Rhinolophus ferrumequinum: one gene and its partner. The protein of the gene in region 1 interacts with the protein of each later gene in a pairwise test. Links are inferred from orthologs where the notes say so. Each region holds a gene or a part of one and is shown in the gene's direction. Other genes may lie near its edges.

Region 1 (8,067 bases):
TGGTTTTCACACACAGCCTGCACCCATGACTTCATGAGGCGGTTCAAGATGCGCTGCTCGTGGACCGGGAACACTTGCTGGATAATCCCACGGGCCGCCAGCTCAGGGACTGTTGGGGGACAAGAATGGGTAACCCCCTCCCCTCTGCCTGTGCCTGGCCTGGCCAGACCGCCTTGGCTGAAACCCAAGTCACAACTTTTTGTCTGCTCTTAAACCTGCAAAAGATCTTCCCAGGGAACGAGTTCTGGGTGGATGGAATATCTGGTTCTCCTTCAGAATTTAAGAGGTGTAGGCACAGGTACAGGCAGGGAAGGGTGCAAGAAACCTAGCAGGGTGGGGTCCCAGTAGGGAACCATGTTTTTAAGTAAAGCCATTGGCCTCAGTTCATTGCTCTGAATGTCTGAGGAATGGTACAAATTTGCTGTCAGAAGATGAACTTGCAGACGCTGGTTTCCTGGAGGGGAAACTGAGGCTTAGGGCCGCCAAGCACAATATACATGGAGTGCTGTCCATGGTCCTGCCCCTTCCTTATCCCAGACCCAGAAAAGGTTCTCTTGGATCTGGCTCCTGGGGAATAAGCCCTACCCTTTGCTAAGGCCACGCCCATTCGTTCATTGCTCTGGGTCCAGGCCCCGCCCAACTCTTCACTAGCCCCTGATTGGTTGGATCTAGGCCCAACTCCCAACATGTGATTGGAGAATTAGTCCACCTCACTCACTAATTGGCTGGTCCTCCAGAAAGCGCACGTTGTGCAGCGCCTCACCCTGCTTGGCACGCAGATTCTGAAGCCAGAAGCGGATGATGCTCTGGCGCTCCTGCAGGGGACAGGGCGTGAGTATAGCAAGTAGCCGCCTGGGTGTTAGGAGTATGTACTGGGGCTGAGCTGGCGCACCTGGGAGGTGAAGAAGCGCAGCTCACTCTCCACATTTTCATAGATGAAGTCCTCCTCGCAGGAGAAGCCGCGGGTACCCCCGCCAAACTCAGCCTTCACTGCTTTGCGCAGACCCAGCTCGTCGGCCCCTCGGAGTAGGCTGCGGGAGGGCAGGGGAGGTGGGATCACGGGGAGACCCTGGCTCTCCATCCTGGAGCTAGGGATAGTGCAACTGGCGGCCGCCTGGGAGAAACACAGAGCGGCTGGACCTCGTAGCTGGCGCTTGGAAGGGTGGGGAGCTGGGCGGCAGGCTCAGAGAGAGGCCAGGGACAGGAACTTACCTCTCATACGTGGCGGTAACGAAGAAGGCATAGGCACGCGTGTGGCGGTGGTGGCGGACTTGCACAATGAGCTCGGGGATGCCCACGCGGATGTGGTTCAGCAGCCATAGCAGCGTGTGGTCATCCGTTGTGTCTGCCAAGGGGCACAGGGACTGATGGCTCTTGTCACGGAGGGTCCGAGGCCTCCTACAGACAGACTCCCACTCAGGGGAGCCCAGCTCAGGGGAGCCCTGTCTGGGCACTGGGCGGGTGGGCACAGGTACCTGGGAAGGTCATCAGCACGTCGCAGTTCTCCGTGGGCACAGTCTTCATCCACGCTTTGTGGGACACCAGGTATCGACCAGCTTGCAGGAGCCGCTTTCCAAAAAGCTTATCTGGGGGGCAGGCGGGACACCTGGGGTCAGGCCACTCCCAGAGGGAACGGAGAGAGCCTGGCCTCCAGCCCTTGCCCCTGCTCACAAACTCACCAGGGCTCCTGAGCACTCAGCCTGGCATTCAAGGCCCTGTGAGCTCTAGCCTTGGCTTGTTTCCTTCCCTTCACGTCCTTGCACCAGAGGGCCCTCCTTCTGAAATGCCCTTCCCCCAGGCCCTCACTTACAAATCTTACTCATTCTTGAGGCCCAGCTCCGCCTCCAAAACCACAATGGATGGGGCGCTCACTCGCAACCCTGAGCACTTCACCACAGTATGTCAGCGCATCCTCACAGCTGGGTGCGGTTTTTACCCCCATTTCACAGATGGGGAAACAGAAGCCCAAAGCATTTAAGTAATGCGCCCAAGGTCACACAGCCAAGCTGGGATTCGAACCCAGGACTGTATGATTCTGTACCCTCTGCGGAGAGGAACTCTCAAGCGCACCCCTGCCCGGACGCGATCCGGTAGCCTAAGGGGTGACGCGGCTCATCTAAGAGCCTGGGTTCTCGGAGGGGCGTGTCCGTGTCTCTGCTCTGGGACCCCCAACCCCCGCTGCACCCTCCCGCCCGCGCTCGCACGGTCGCAGCCGCAGTGTCGGGAGGAGCCTGCCCCTCCACTGGACTCCAGGACGGGGACAGCTGACCCCAATATCCCTTCTCGTTTAGCCGCCGCGAGCACCCCAGGCACCTGCAACCCTGACAGATCCAGCCGCCGCACACCTACCCAGAACTCCGGACGCCGGGGCTGCCGGCTCGCCCTCTGGCGGGGGCCTCTTGCCGCGCTCGCCCTCCAGGGACGTGCCCCCGGAGCCAGAGGCGGCTTCGGCCATGGCGAGGGCAGGGCAGGTCAGGGGCAGCGGGCGGCGGGGGCGCGGAGGGACCGCGGGAGCATGGGGCGGGTGCAGCCGCGGAGCGCGCGGTAGGAGTAGACAAAGGCCGCACCCGCCCGCGCGGGCCGCCGTCCCCGCGTGCCCGAGCGCTGCTTCTCGTCCCCGCGCGCGCCGAACCTCGAGTCTCCAGCTGGGCCCTGCGCACGTCGCTCTAGGGTTCTCGACTCCGCCCGCGTTGTTTTCTGGGTTTCGTTCTCGCCCGCCCACATCGGTTTCTGGTGCTCGTTCCCGCCCGCACCGAAGGTGCACCCGGGTTGTGCCTGCCCGCGCCGAATTCTGGGTCTCGTACCCGCGCGCCCCGGATTCCCCGCCTGAGTTTCCTCTCTGAAAAGGTGCATTTGGGATTTGAGATGGGTGTGATTTGATTACAACTGGATGTGAGTGGGGAAGGCCTGGTCTGGGAAGATTCCGGGTGACGATGACTTTAACCACCACAGCTGGAATGTGAATAATTATAGCAGGTTCTGCGTCAGGGCTTTAGCATATGCTCTAGGACATTGCCAAGGACACCCTTCACCCCCTTTGTCCAGTTCAACCTGGCATTCTTCAGGATGTAACCTCAAAGAGGACCAGATAGAGTTGCCAATTTAGCAAATAAAAATACAGTCCTCCCAATTAGATATGTTAACCTAAAAATAAAAGTCCTTTCAAAGTGAGAAAAAGTGTTTATTTAAGATCAATAAAAACAGCTATTCGGGATGGACTGATTAGAGCAGAAGCCCAAATAATGTTTCAATTAGGAAATAAAGGCAATGGGTATTTATAAGAAAGGGAAGGGGCACAATTACATCGACAGAAGGAAGGCATTTCTATTGGTGCAGGTAACATACTGATGTTAATTCTAAACAATGTCTTAAATTTGCAGTCCAATGGTCATAATATCTGCTTTCTTGTTACCTGTGCAAACATTTCTTTGGGAAACAAGTTTGCTTAAGCCCAATCTAAAGGTTGTTTTACCCTGTTTTAACATCCCAAAGATTTGAGGCTTAAGACGTACAGGCAGTTCTTTGGAGATGGCAGCTCTGGCTCCATTTTAAAGTGGCTCCGTTTATATTATTTTTTACAAATATGAATTTCAGATAAACGAAGAAATTTTTAGTATGTTCCAAATATTATATGGGACCCAACGTTATTCTCTGTTTATTCGAAATTCACATTTGACTGGGCATCCCGTCTTTTGGGTGTAACTTGAAGACCTGCGCATCCTGAGACGTCTCCTCCGTTAGAGCCCAGCCAGGGCAGGGGCCCGGTCTGGTTCTCAGAATGCAAACAGTAGGCGCTTGATGTATACTTGTGACAAATGGAGCAACTCGGAGACGGCGAATGTCATTGTTCCGCCCTGTTCTACAAATGTAAAAGTTGAGCAGAGCAGCGCTGTGGGGGGAATTAGAACTCTAGCCCGTCCAACAGATTCTTCCCAAAGTGCAAGTGAGCCGCCCGCCCGCTCCGTCCAAGAACCAGAGAATTGGCCATGCGAAAGCGCCCCTGAGACCCCGCCCAGACAGTGCCAGGAATTCCACCCTCAACGCTTTATTACGCCTAGATCCAGCGCTCTCCTGGGTTACCCTGAAAGTAATGTCCTAGACTCCCCTTTTTTTTGGGGGGGGGGCAGAGACAGACGACATTCAGCTTTGCAGGTGCAGACCTAGGCCAGGGAGGCACAGAGGGAAGAGAGGGCTGTGCTGAGGGTTCCAGGAAGGGTTTCTGGCGGAGGGGACCTTGAGCTGGCCCTGAGGACGAGTTTGTGAAGTGAGGAAGGGTATTCGAGGCCGAGGAAACGGCGGAAGGGAAAGCTGGTGAGGGGCGGAAACCTGGACTGTTCCGGGAAAACAAGAAGGCGTCTTCCCAGAAGTTTGGACAAGATTTTCCCAGCGCCACTGTGTGGGTTCTCCGGAACTCATCCCTCTGAGCCACTGAGATGCTTTTGCTTCGCGTAAGGCTACGGATGACTAGCTCAGAGAACTCTCGCCTCACTGTAATTCCCACCGCCCAGTGCCTGTATTCCTTCTGCTCTTCGTTTCCGGTATCTCGGATCCCGACAGCTCTAGGATCCTAAAAATTCGGCCTCATGTTGCCAGGGGGAACGCTATTTCGGGGCTTCCCCGAGCGCAGCCCGACCCCCGCCTCTGTCCCTGGACACAGCCAATAGAAACGAAGATCTTCAGTGGGTGGGCGGTACGTCTTTTGGGGGCCCAATGGTAGTCGAGAATCGTTGAGCACCTTGCCAGTCACGCTGCGGAGTAGGCGGGGCCTCCTGCCTGGACTGAAGCCTCCCAGGAAGAGTGCGCGGGCGAGCGGCTGGCGGGGAACCCATGTGGCGGGGGCTCTTGACCCTGGTAGCCCGGGCGGCTCGTGGGCCTCTCAGGTGGGGTGACCCGGGAAAGGGCTGTGACAGCGTGGGGCGCTTCTTGGGCCCCAAATCCTCTCTCTGGGACCTGGGGGCCTAGTTCCCTGCGGCAAGGCCACCTTTCTAGTTCTTGCAAGCCCCAATCTCTTCATTCCCCCCGCCTCAGAACCCACATATAGGTTATCTGGCCTCAGTCCTCAATCCAGTCACCCTCTGGCCTCAGGGCCTCCAGTTGGGGTCATTTCTCGACCATCGAACCCTCTATCCACCTGCCACTCTGCAGCAGAGCCAGACGCACTGACTCTCCTCTCCTGTCTCAGACCGTGCACGCGCCAGGGCAGCCGCACTCCGGTCCCCGGATCCGGGGCCACCATTTTCGCGCTGAGTTCCGGCCAAGGCCGCTGCGGCATCGCTGTGATTCGGACCAGCGGCCCCGCCAGCGGCCACGCCCTCCGAAGCCTCACGGCGCCCCGGGACTTGCCCCAGGCTCGCAGGGCCTGCCTGCGCCTACTCAGCGACCCCCGCTCCGGGGAGCCGTTGGACCGCGCGCTAGTGCTGTGGTTCCCAGGTGAGGGGCTCCAGGTCCTGAACCTCCTGTAGCTCCCATGACTCAGTTGACCCTCCCAAGCGTTTGCTCAGACTATGCCCTCTTGACTCCTCGCCACATCAGGTCCCCAGAGTTTCACGGGTGAGGACTGCGCGGAGTTCCACGTGCATGGAGGCCCGGCGGTGGTGAGTGGCGTCCTGCAGGCCCTGGGTGAGTCTGCAGCCTTGAGTTAGAGTCTACCGGGGGCCTGCGTGGGGGCCAGGTGCTCAGTACTTGGGACCGTCCCCCAGGCAGGGTGCCAGGGCTGCGGCCAGCGGAGGCAGGAGAGTTCACCAGGCGGGCCTTCGCCCACGGGAAGCTGAGCCTGACTGAAGTGGAGGGGCTGGCAGATCTGATCCATGCGGAAACTGAGGCACAGCGGCGGCAGGCCCTGAGGCAGCTGGACGGGGAACTGGGTCACCTCTGCCGGGGCTGGGCGGACACCCTCACTAAGGCAAGTCTCCATTTGCACAGTCTCTGTCTCAGAGACCCCAACCTGTCCATCCCCTGTGTGAAAGCTGGTCTGTGAACCTCCAATCAGACCCTTAGGTGGGGTTGGACCTGGGCAAATTGGGGGGCTGGGTTCCTAGGTGATGACAGTCCCTACCACCCCTCCCCTAGGCTCTGGCCCATGTGGAGGCCTATATCGACTTTGGGGAGGATGACGACCTGGAGGAGGGCGTCCTGGAACGAGGTGGGTCCACCTGGGGGTGGAGGCGTGGGGACATCTGGCATCTCAGCCCCCAGGAGACCCCTCACTCGCTCCCCTCTGCTTTCCTCCATCCACAGCTGACAGCCAAGTGCGGGAGCTGGAGGTGGCACTGGGCGCACATCTTCGAGATGCCAGGCGTGGGCAGAGGCTCCGCTCAGGGGCTCACGTGGTGGTCGCGGGACCCCCCAACGCCGGCAAGAGCAGCCTAGTGAACCTGCTCAGTGCGTGGGAGGTGGGGCTGGAGCAGGGGCCGGTGGAACTGAGCTAGTCAGATGTGGGGAAGGGGTTAGGGAGTTAGAAAGCTCTGTTCAGCCAGGGGCATGAGCTTGGGGGAGGTGCTCCCTCCCCTTTACTGACCTCCTCCCCATTTTCAGGCCGGAAGCCTGTGTCCATCGTGTCCCCAGAGCCAGGGACCACCCGAGATGTGTTGGAGACCCCTGTGGACCTGGCCGGGTTCCCGGCACTCCTGAGCGACACGGCAGGGTTGCGGGAGGGCACGGGGCTAGTGGAGCAGGAGGGTGTGCGGCGTGCCCGCGAGAGGTGGGTGAAGTGGGTGGGTGGTGGGAGGAGGAAATGAGTGGGGCCTTCCTCTCCCTTTCTCCCTGTTGCATTTGTTTTTCTTTCTTTCTGAATCAGAAGATTGAGTGGGGACTCCATGATTTGGGTAGGCCAGCCCTTAGATTTTGGCCTCTGCCCACATTTTCTGCCCCACCTCTCACGCTCTGCCCCGCCCCTCACGCAGTGCTCTGCCCCCAGCGCTCTGCTTGCCTGGCTCTCCATTCTGCCCAGTGCCCTTAATTGCTGTACTCTGGGGTCACTGCTCAGTTGGTTCTCCCTGCTCCCCCAGGCTGGAGCAGGCTGACGTCATCCTTGCAGTGCTGGACGCCTCTGACCTAGCCTCTCCGTCCAGCTGCAACTTCCTGGACGTGGTTGTCAACCCCGCGGCAGGCCGGAGCCCCGATGGAAACAGCCAACGTCTCGTGTTGGTGCTAAACAAGTCAGACCTGCTGCCCCCTGGGGGCCCATACCCAAGTCCTGACCTGCCCCCTCACCTGCTGCTGTCCTGCCTGACGGGGGAAGGGCTGGACGACCTCCTGGAGGCGCTGCGGAAGGAGCTGGCTGCAGTGTGAGCCACCCCACAACCTCCCTCTACCCAGGTTCAAGTGAGGGCTGAGTCCCTGGCTCTGGGCACATACTTGCCCACAGGCTCAGTTTCGATATCTGCAGAATGGGTATGATCATCCTCTGAGTGGTGGTGCAAAGGTTAAGAGAGACCATGTTCTTTGTCATTTCCAGTTGTGGAGATCCGTCCACAGGCCCACCACTTCTGACGCGGGCAAGGCACCAGCATCACCTCCAGGGCTGCCTGGATGCTCTCGGCCATTACAAGCAAGCTAAAGATGTATCCCTGGCGGCCGAGGCACTGCGGGTCGCCCGGGGGCACCTGGCCCACCTCACCAGTGGAGGGGGCACCGAGGAGATCCTGGACATTATCTTCCGGGACTTCTGTGTGGGCAAGTGAGGGGACTGCTGAAGCTCAGACCAGGCTGGGTGGGTGCCCAGAAGCCTGGAGGCATCCAGGAGCAGCTTAGGCCAAGTGAGATTCTTATCCCCTGGGAAGAACTTGACCCCAAAGTGAGTGAACTCCCTGCTGCTGGTGGTGACCAAGCTCTAGCTGGACAGATTGCCTTGCAGGGACTTGCTGGAAGTTCAGGCCCTCGAGGGGGGCTGAACAGAGATCCCTTTGGGCGCCTTATGCTGGGGGAGTAGCAATTGGGAGGGAGGTAGGAGGGTCTCAGGGGTCTTTGTTTAATAGTTTTTCATTTATTTTGCAAATTCCAAAGGAATATAAAAAACTCAGGTGATCCTGAAATGTTTAAATGTAGAAATCTCCCTCACCCCACCAC
Region 2 (8,286 bases), on another chromosome or scaffold:
CCACCAGGTAGGAGGGGTCTGCAATCACTCAGGACTGGGTTTAGCACTGTTGAAGACCTCTCCATTCGAATACACACAGAAAACATGAAAGATAAAGTAAAATGTCTTCCATTTGTTTGGTCTTCCTGAGAAAACTAGCGACCACGGTCAATATGCATCATTTCTACTCTGTGGCACTTTGCCGGGAATTATGATGGAGGGGGAAGCATTCCAGTGCCAGGCTGTGTAACAAAGTTTCAAGCATTGCATGCAGAGAGTAACCTATTGAAAGACTGTGAGATGTTGAGCCCCAGTGGTTGAGCCCACCCTTGAAAAAGGTATGGGAGAGTGAAGGCGTGTTCTATAAGGATATTTTAGAAGCCCTAGATCCATTACATTTCCTCAGCAAAATAAAAGGTGGATTATATTTTGTACGAACACACATACCACCAGAACCCAGGTAGTTTATTTACATGAGGCGGAGATAGTGACCTGGTAGCTCAGGTAAATCTGACAGCCCATTCCCAGCCTAAATGGGACAGCAGGATTAGGCCACTTGTCGGCATATACGAATACAGTGTTGAAGGGAAGCTGGAAATCCACATTATTTAATGTGAAATTTCCCAGTTTTAAAATGTGGCTCATTTATTAAAAATTTTAAATACTCTGTATGCTAAAGCTCACTAGCTATCAGTTTGCCACCCCAAGACTAAATGATCATTAAGCTTGTTTTCCATACTTGCTCTCTAAGTGGTTATAAATTAAGTGTAATAAGAGAAAACTTATTACTAAAGTTTGCACAGCTATTTTCAGTTTATGAAATATGCTTCCTCCATATTACTTTGGGATATGGCGGTATATTTCAAAAGCTTATCCATCTGATATACGAGGTCTGACAATTAAGTTTGCGACCTCATCCTGGAAAAAGTGCTCCATACCTCATTGTTAAATATCACTACGGTCACCTTTAAAGTACTCCCCTTGGGAAGCATCGACGCCAGTGCCTAGTACACACTTCAAAGCAATTTTGGAACTCATTTTCTGGAATGGCCATCAGAGCTGTCTTCCTTTCAAAATTTCCTTTATCTTCGGGTAAAGAAAGAAGTCATTGGGGCCAGATCAGGTGAGTAGGGAGGGTGTTCCAATACAGTTATTTGTTTACTGGCTAAAAATTCCCTTGCAGATAATGCCATTTGAGCTGGTGCATTGTCGTGATGTAAGAGCCATGAACTGTTGGTGAAAAGTTCAGGTCGTCTAACGTTTTCATGCAGGCTTTTCAGCACTTTCAAACAGTAAACTTGGTTAACTGTTTGTCCAGTTGTTACAAATTTATAATGAATAATCCCTCTGATATCAAAAAAGGTTAGCAACATCGTTGCAACAAGTTCTCAAACTTAATTGTCAGACCCTGTATATCTAAAGCAGTTGTGTTCGCTCCATCCCATTCTCTGACCTCCAGCTTAGGCAACTCAAGGCTTCAAGGAAATGAAGTACAGTCCAACCTCACAAAAGGTTGAGGAGCTGGTCCTAATCTTTTCAGTTGCATTTGCTTTTAGAAGTCCACTCCACCTTTGATGAAGAGCTAATTCCTAAATTACTTAAATTGCTATTGTTCATTAACCAAACTTGCTAAAGACAATAATAAAAAAATCATCATTAACAATGGAGCAATTTCATTAATTATAAATAAATTTTAATCGTAATTAAAAAATTAATGAATTGAAAAAAAAATTAATGAATTGAACCCAGTAGTGTATTCAGAGAATAATGAATACATGATGAAGCAGAGTTTATTTCAAGAATGTACGCATAGCTTGAACATTAGGAAATCTACTACTATATTTCATTATATTAAAAGTCAGAGTAAAAACTGAATATAGTAACAGAGTTTACGAGACAGTTGATAAAATTTAACATCCTTTTCTAACTAAAAGCTCACAGTAAACTAGGAATGAAAGGAAATTTCTTTAAAGACGATTGTGTATTTAAAGAACATCTAGCACCAACTAAGGGCAAACGTTTGTCTTACTGCAGTCAAGACTGAATGCTCATTATCTTGTTCTGTATTCTTCAAAAATGTTCTGAGGAATGCAATAGGAAGATAAAAAAACTGCATTTTCTGTAGGTGATATGATTGTCAACATAAAAATTCAGAGACATCATCAGCTAACAAGCTATTAGAACTAATAATATAGTTTTACAGTGTAGTAGGATGTAAGTTAAAGACACAAAAACCAACAGTTTTCCTAACTTAGAGCAATGAAAAGTATCTCATTCACAATAACAACAAAAACTATAAAATATCTAGGAACAAACTTCCCAAGAATTATGCAAATCTATGTGAATATATGTATATATATATATATATATATATATATATATATATATATATATGGATATAAAAGACATGAAGAGATGCGTTCCTGAATAAGACAATTCATGATTTTGAAAAATTTGAAAGGGAATTGGGAGAGGACTTGCTTTACAAGAGAGCAAATGTGTTACAAAGCTATAGTAATTATAAGTGTGGCATAGCATAGGAATAAGCAGAAAGCTAATAGAATAGACAAGAATGTTCAGAAACAGATGCACACACATAAATTTAGTTTTTGATTAGTGTGGCACTTTAAGGTAGTGGGAAAAGAATAGATTATTCGTTAAGTGATATTGGTGCAACTGGCTAATCATTTAGCAAAAAATAAAGTGAAAAAAAGTAAAGTGAAGATCCCTATCTCAACCATGTATAAGAATAGAGATTGCAAATTTACACATTATTTTTTAGTGTAGTTTGGCAATATATATCAAAAATTGAAATTTCCATAATCTCTCATTGAACAATTCCATTTCTTAGAACTAATTCTAAGGAGGTAAATGGACAAATGTACAGAAATGTTAGTACAAGAATGTTTATCATAGAAATGGTGGAGGAAAGAAAAAAGGAAAGGTGAAGGGAAGGGCTCTTTGCTAGTATATCCATATCTAGAAGATAGTTTTAAGTTATAACCATAAGTCTATATTTTGGTAAAGTACCTACGTGCATTTTGGAAAGTACCTACGTTTATTTTTTATTTTTTATTAGTTTCAGGTGTAATAGACATTTACACCCCTCACAAAGTGATAACTCTCCTCCCCCAATCTATGCACCCTCTCACATCGTATAAAGCTGCTACAATTCCATTGACTCTATTCCCTATCCTGTGCTCATCGTGTGACTATAAGTATATATATTTAATTCTAGTACCTACGTTTACTGTGGACAAGGTTCATTCCTTATTTTGCAACATCTGAGGTTTTCAAGATGTCCTAAGATGACTAAGATACAAAGTAGAGCTACTAAATTAACCAATTTGTAAATATCTTTTTGTTATAATTGATAAGAAAGAGGCATCTTGCACGTGAAACTGTTAAACCATATCTGAGAGATGCACGTCAGGACTTGTTCATTAGGTTGGTGGCAGAGGGGCAGAAGGAAGGATAGAGGGAGGGAAGTGTGTGGATGTGCTCATATTTACATTGTAATGATAACCACTAATGTGTGTGCATCTCTTTTAGCTGGACTCTAGGAATACATTGTTAAGTATTTCAGTGGAAACTTGCCTCCTTGCTACTATTTTAAAAGTATAGATCATAATGAATTCTCTTAGAAGCATTATACTTTTTATACTCTGTTGCTTTATGCCTCATTTTTAATTGAACGTTAAAGGAATGCAGTATTTTAATTGTAACTCTGCCAGTATCTTTAAGTAGAGGCCTGTTGCCATTTTTGTCCTTTATGAAAGTTTTGTTGCCAAGAAAGGCAGGATTACATTTTTTTTTTTCCTCTTCCAGATTTAGTTGGTGTAGTATATTCTTGGTTATCAGAATACTCGTATAGCTTTGGGACTTTGAAATGGTAAATATTCATGATGTGTAAAAAGGCTTGATACATAACTGTGTGATCTTAATTACTTAATAATGGACGCTTTGTTGTATAAATACACACAGGGGACCTAGAAAGACATGCCAAACTGTAACCTGCTTGTGATTATGGATGACCTTGTACTTTGCTTCTTGTGTTTTCTAGTTTCCTATTATATGCATATGTTAACTTTTAAAAAATAAACGTTATTTTAAAAACCTAAAAAAAAAAAAAAAGAATATTGCTTTTTTTTGGAATAGTAGAAAATTGAAAAACACTTAAATGTCTATCACAATGGATTATTTCAAATGTGTAACATACATACAAACCATGGAATGCCATGAGACTGTAAAATGATGACTTTAAAATGATGAAATAGATTTACTCATATATGTATGGAATAAAGAAAATCCACACATATTAAGTGAAAATATCAGGTTTTAAATCTGTAGGTAGTCATTGATCAATTTTTGTTTTGATGTGTGAAGGTATAGAAAAGCCCAGAAGGATCTGTAGCAAACGGTTTTTCATTTCCCATGGGTAGATTCTACTTCTTTGCCTAGAAGATTCATCCCCTCTCTTAGCTCTCTTTACCCAGGTAACTTCGAAAGGAGTACATCCTTGAGGTCTTAGCTTAAACTTCTTAGGGAGAAAGGTGGGGGGGGGGGGCCGCGGACCCCTATCCTAGGTGAGCACGCTCTCATGGAACCCTGTGTACTTGCCATAGTACCCATAAACCATACTGCACCTTTTTATTGATCTAAATTACTTACTTTTTGTTTTTTCCTTTGGACTCTAAGCTCCATGAATGAGGGCACGGACTACATACGGATCAGTCTTGTTCACTCCAGCCAGAGCCTAGCAGTGTCTGGCAAATAACTGTCACTTACCGAGCGTTTACTAAATGCTGAATACTGTGCTAAGTGCTTTAAAAGGTGTCATTACACCCCTAGGTAGATAGCATTATCATCTCCATTCTGAAGATGAGGAAACTGAGAGTGAGATTGTGAAGCTTATCCCAAATGCCACTGGTTGCGTTGGGATCAATTCCCAGGCCTGTCTGCCTCGTGGCCCCTTACACACATTGTACGGTAATCAATCAACATTGAAGGAAATCTAACCAACTGTGGCTCGAGGATCCCTGGGTGGGAGATTGCGGTGGGGATTTAGCGCTAGAAGGCTGGTTGCACTAGAAGCCCTTTAAACCCCTTTACAACCCAGACACTCGCACGCCCGGGGCTTTCCGTCCGGCCGGCGGAGCCCGGAAACGGGCAGGGGGCGGGGCGAGTTTCCGGGGGCGGGGCGGGGCCGGCGCTGGTTGGCCGGCTTCGGGCGGAAGTCGGAGGTTAGGTGGTCCGCAGACGCTGGCTTGTGACAGAGGGGGAGAAGGAAGGCCTGCGTAAAGGTTCCTCTCCATCACTTCGCTCCCGGGCACCCTCGGAACAAACCCCAACACCCCGGCCCCGCGGCTAGCCCCTTCCCCTAGGCTCTCTCCGCTCGATTTCGCCACCGTTATGTGGGAAGCGAATCCGGTGAGTAGCCGGGCGGGACGGGGCGGACCCAATGGGCGGGGTTGATGGGAGGGGCGGGAGGGGGTTCCCCGGCCCTGCTCCCCCCTCACCCGCTTCAGGCTGGATGTTGAATTCCGGGCTCGAGGACCCCGGCCCTTGCGGCTTCTCCTGGCCTCTGCCTGTTTGAATGGTGGAGATGGCTCGGTGGGTTCTCCGACGCTGGATTGTTGTCCTATTATTAGTTATTTATTTTGCTTGCTTTGGTTTCTCCGCCTCCCTCCCTTCACCTTTTTAAACTTTGTGTTTTGTTTTCTAATTGGAGTTACTGGGCTTCGGACCTGTTACTCCTTTGCCTTAGGTGTACCTGCCAGTCCCACCCATCTAAAGCTAGGGGATCGGACCCCCGTGCCTTGAATGGGCCTCGGAGGAACCGTCAGTACTCCTTTTCCCCTCTTGGTGGACAGCCATGTAAAACTTGGGGGACCGAGTGTTTGTTCTAAGCTTCTAGATGGTGAAGTTCTTAGATGTTTCTTTTTCAGTGGACAGAACTGATGACCTGGAACATTTCAACTGCAAGTCTTGTCTCCCTCCTTCTTGTTTGATTCCGGTATATGCATTGTGCCTACGTGTATTTTTTGTCTGTTTTGTTGTTATACATTTATTTATTTAATGTGCAGCCCTCAAAGAGTGGAATATGTTTGCCAAGACTATTCCAATAATCTCTTGGTAGAGTTGACATCGCTTAGTAACATGGTAACTGTACACTATTTACGCCTTATGAGTTGACTGGAAAAGTGGCAGAACCACATTTCAGCAAATTGTTGGACTAAATATGTGGAACTACCCGATATGCTGAGAGATCTGCCTAAATTTATTTTATAATTCTGTTTGCATACTTGCAAAAACTCCTTTGATGTAATCAGTACTTCTTCCATGTCTGGAATATATTTCCAGATAAATTAGAGAGTTTGTCAGTTAATTCTGTTAGTTTTTATCCAACAGAAACTAGTGTGTTGGTGTGCATTCGTTGGTTGCCCATTGTGGTTTCATCTCAGTACATCACCTAACAGTGGTCATCATCTAAGATTTATTTATTCATTTATTTATTTTTTGTTCATACCTATAATCCTCTAATACCAGGCCACATCAGAGGAAAGTAGTTGCTAGTATTTGATTTTAGCCAACATAATTTAGAATTATGAGAATGTGCTTTCTGCTTATATATGTACTTTCACTATTTGTCATCAACAATCTTCATTTTGGTGTGTGTGTGTGTGTGTGTGTGTGTGTGTGCGCTCGCACTTTGTATTGGCAGTGGCAGTCTTTCTCGTCTTAGTTTCTCCATAACAAACCTTTTAGTCACCCAAATACATGTCTTGCTCAGTTACATGTTTTAAATCCTTGACTATATTCTAAGCTCCATAATCGGCAGGGGTTTTTGTCTTTTTGTTTACTATGGTATCCTCAGACTAGAGAGCGGACCTGGCACAGCTAGTAGGCCCTCTGTAAATATTTGTTGCATTAACAAAGGTGATTGAATTAGTACTAGAGAGAGTCCTTTGCTCCCACTGTTGAGTCTCCCTCTTCCATCACTTACACATCAGCATTTGTTATTGGATCATTTGTGTGTTTGTGAGGATTATAAAGGATTAGTGAATTTCTCATATTTGGTTTATTATATCATTACCTCATTTCTTTGTAAGAAATGCTGTTTTCTCTGAAATCTAACGATTTTCCTTGATTTCAGTAGAGTATACTGGCTTTTATTAACAGTGGTGAACCTTCCACATATAATCCCATTTCTTTTAACCCTTATACCACCCTAATGTCTTAATGCTACCTTATTTACTTACTAATACTGTTTTTCTTTCTATGAACATATGAATGCTGTCAATAAAGACAGTTTAGTTTTTAAAATTACAGTCAACATTCTGCATGTGGATATCTCAAAGTCATTTGTTAGTTTCTTTTCATAGAAGGGGCATCTGGATAGTCTGTCCAGCTATGCTCATAGAATGAAAATTAATTTTAATCTTTCTGTAAACCAGACACCATTGGTGAAATGTAAAAAACCCCACAATGATCCTAAAGATAAATGCAGATGACTTTTGGATTCCCCACCAATTTAAGTAATTGCTTATCATTTCTTTCCATTGAATGAGAGAATAAATTCTCTGTGAAGGAAGGTCATTGTAAACTGTTTTAATTGAAGACTTCTGCCTAGTTTCTCCCTGTATCTTTTTGTTAGCATCCATGTCCTTAAGATCTGCAAATATACCTACTGTTGCAAATATACCTTCTGTATGATACTGTATTCCACTCACAAGTGTTTTGAGGAAATACTACGCTGGGTTCTAGGTAGTTTCACCGTAAACATCTTTGCCAGAAATGTTTTTGTTGCAAGCATTTTCACAGCAAACATTTTTACCACACAACTAATTGGCGGTAAGGCATTTTCGCTATAAAAGATTTAAATAACTGGTTGACAGTTTGGTTTCATTTCTCCACTGATGAATCACTTGCTTTCAGACTTAAGGTATTTAAGCCAGCTGTCAGTTTGGTTTCGTTTCTCCATTGACAATGTCCTCACAGTACTCCCATTTTTATATTACATAAATCTTGGCCAGATTGCATACTATACTAGAAAATGGTCACATGCCAGTTTTTGCAAATCCTTCAGTGAGCAGTCATCCCTCCCACCCATCAAAATCAAGTTTACCAAGCTATTAAACATAAAAGAAGTAATGACTAATTCACAGCAGTCTTAGCATTATCTGTTCTTTTGTTAGAAACTCATACCTCTCTTAATGAAGTTAGTGAAAAAGAAAAGTGCAGTGCTGAACGAGGAGACAAATCAGCACACAAACAAAAAATGTATGAGCGCAAGACTTCGAAGAC

Evidence for each region.
Region 2: the proteins of GTPBP3 (region 1) and PARP11 interact in binary tests that used the Homo sapiens proteins (3 or more experiments, as listed by UniProt). The two-hybrid records come from large-scale screens. The link is inferred for Rhinolophus ferrumequinum from reciprocal best matches to the Homo sapiens genes GTPBP3 and PARP11.

Annotation. Positions count from the first base shown.
Region 1 is NC_046301.1:50,528,169-50,536,235, forward strand, and holds the start of GTPBP3 (tRNA modification GTPase GTPBP3, mitochondrial), read left to right. Parts: upstream 1-4,717; 5' UTR 4,718-4,827; coding exon 4,828-4,880; intron 4,881-5,182; coding exon 5,183-5,430; intron 5,431-5,532; coding exon 5,533-5,619; intron 5,620-5,699; coding exon 5,700-5,902; intron 5,903-6,069; coding exon 6,070-6,142; intron 6,143-6,237; coding exon 6,238-6,381; intron 6,382-6,534; coding exon 6,535-6,700; intron 6,701-7,007; coding exon 7,008-7,286; intron 7,287-7,456; coding exon 7,457-7,682; 3' UTR 7,683-8,067. Other genes in the region: ANO8 (anoctamin-8), read right to left, coding at 1-109, 719-815, 893-1,031, 1,213-1,345, 1,476-1,586, 2,350-2,455. UniProt on the Homo sapiens protein: GTPase component of the GTPBP3-MTO1 complex that catalyzes the 5-taurinomethyluridine (taum(5)U) modification at the 34th wobble position (U34) of mitochondrial tRNAs (mt-tRNAs), which plays a role in mt-tRNA decoding and mitochondrial translation.
Region 2 is NC_046293.1:86,965,283-86,973,568, forward strand, and holds the start of PARP11 (protein mono-ADP-ribosyltransferase PARP11), read left to right. Parts: upstream 1-5,223; 5' UTR 5,224-5,409; intron 5,410-5,468; exon of another isoform or gene 5,469-5,592; intron 5,593-8,286. UniProt on the Homo sapiens protein: Mono-ADP-ribosyltransferase that mediates mono-ADP-ribosylation of target proteins. Plays a role in nuclear envelope stability and nuclear remodeling during spermiogenesis. Inhibits the type I interferon activated signaling pathway.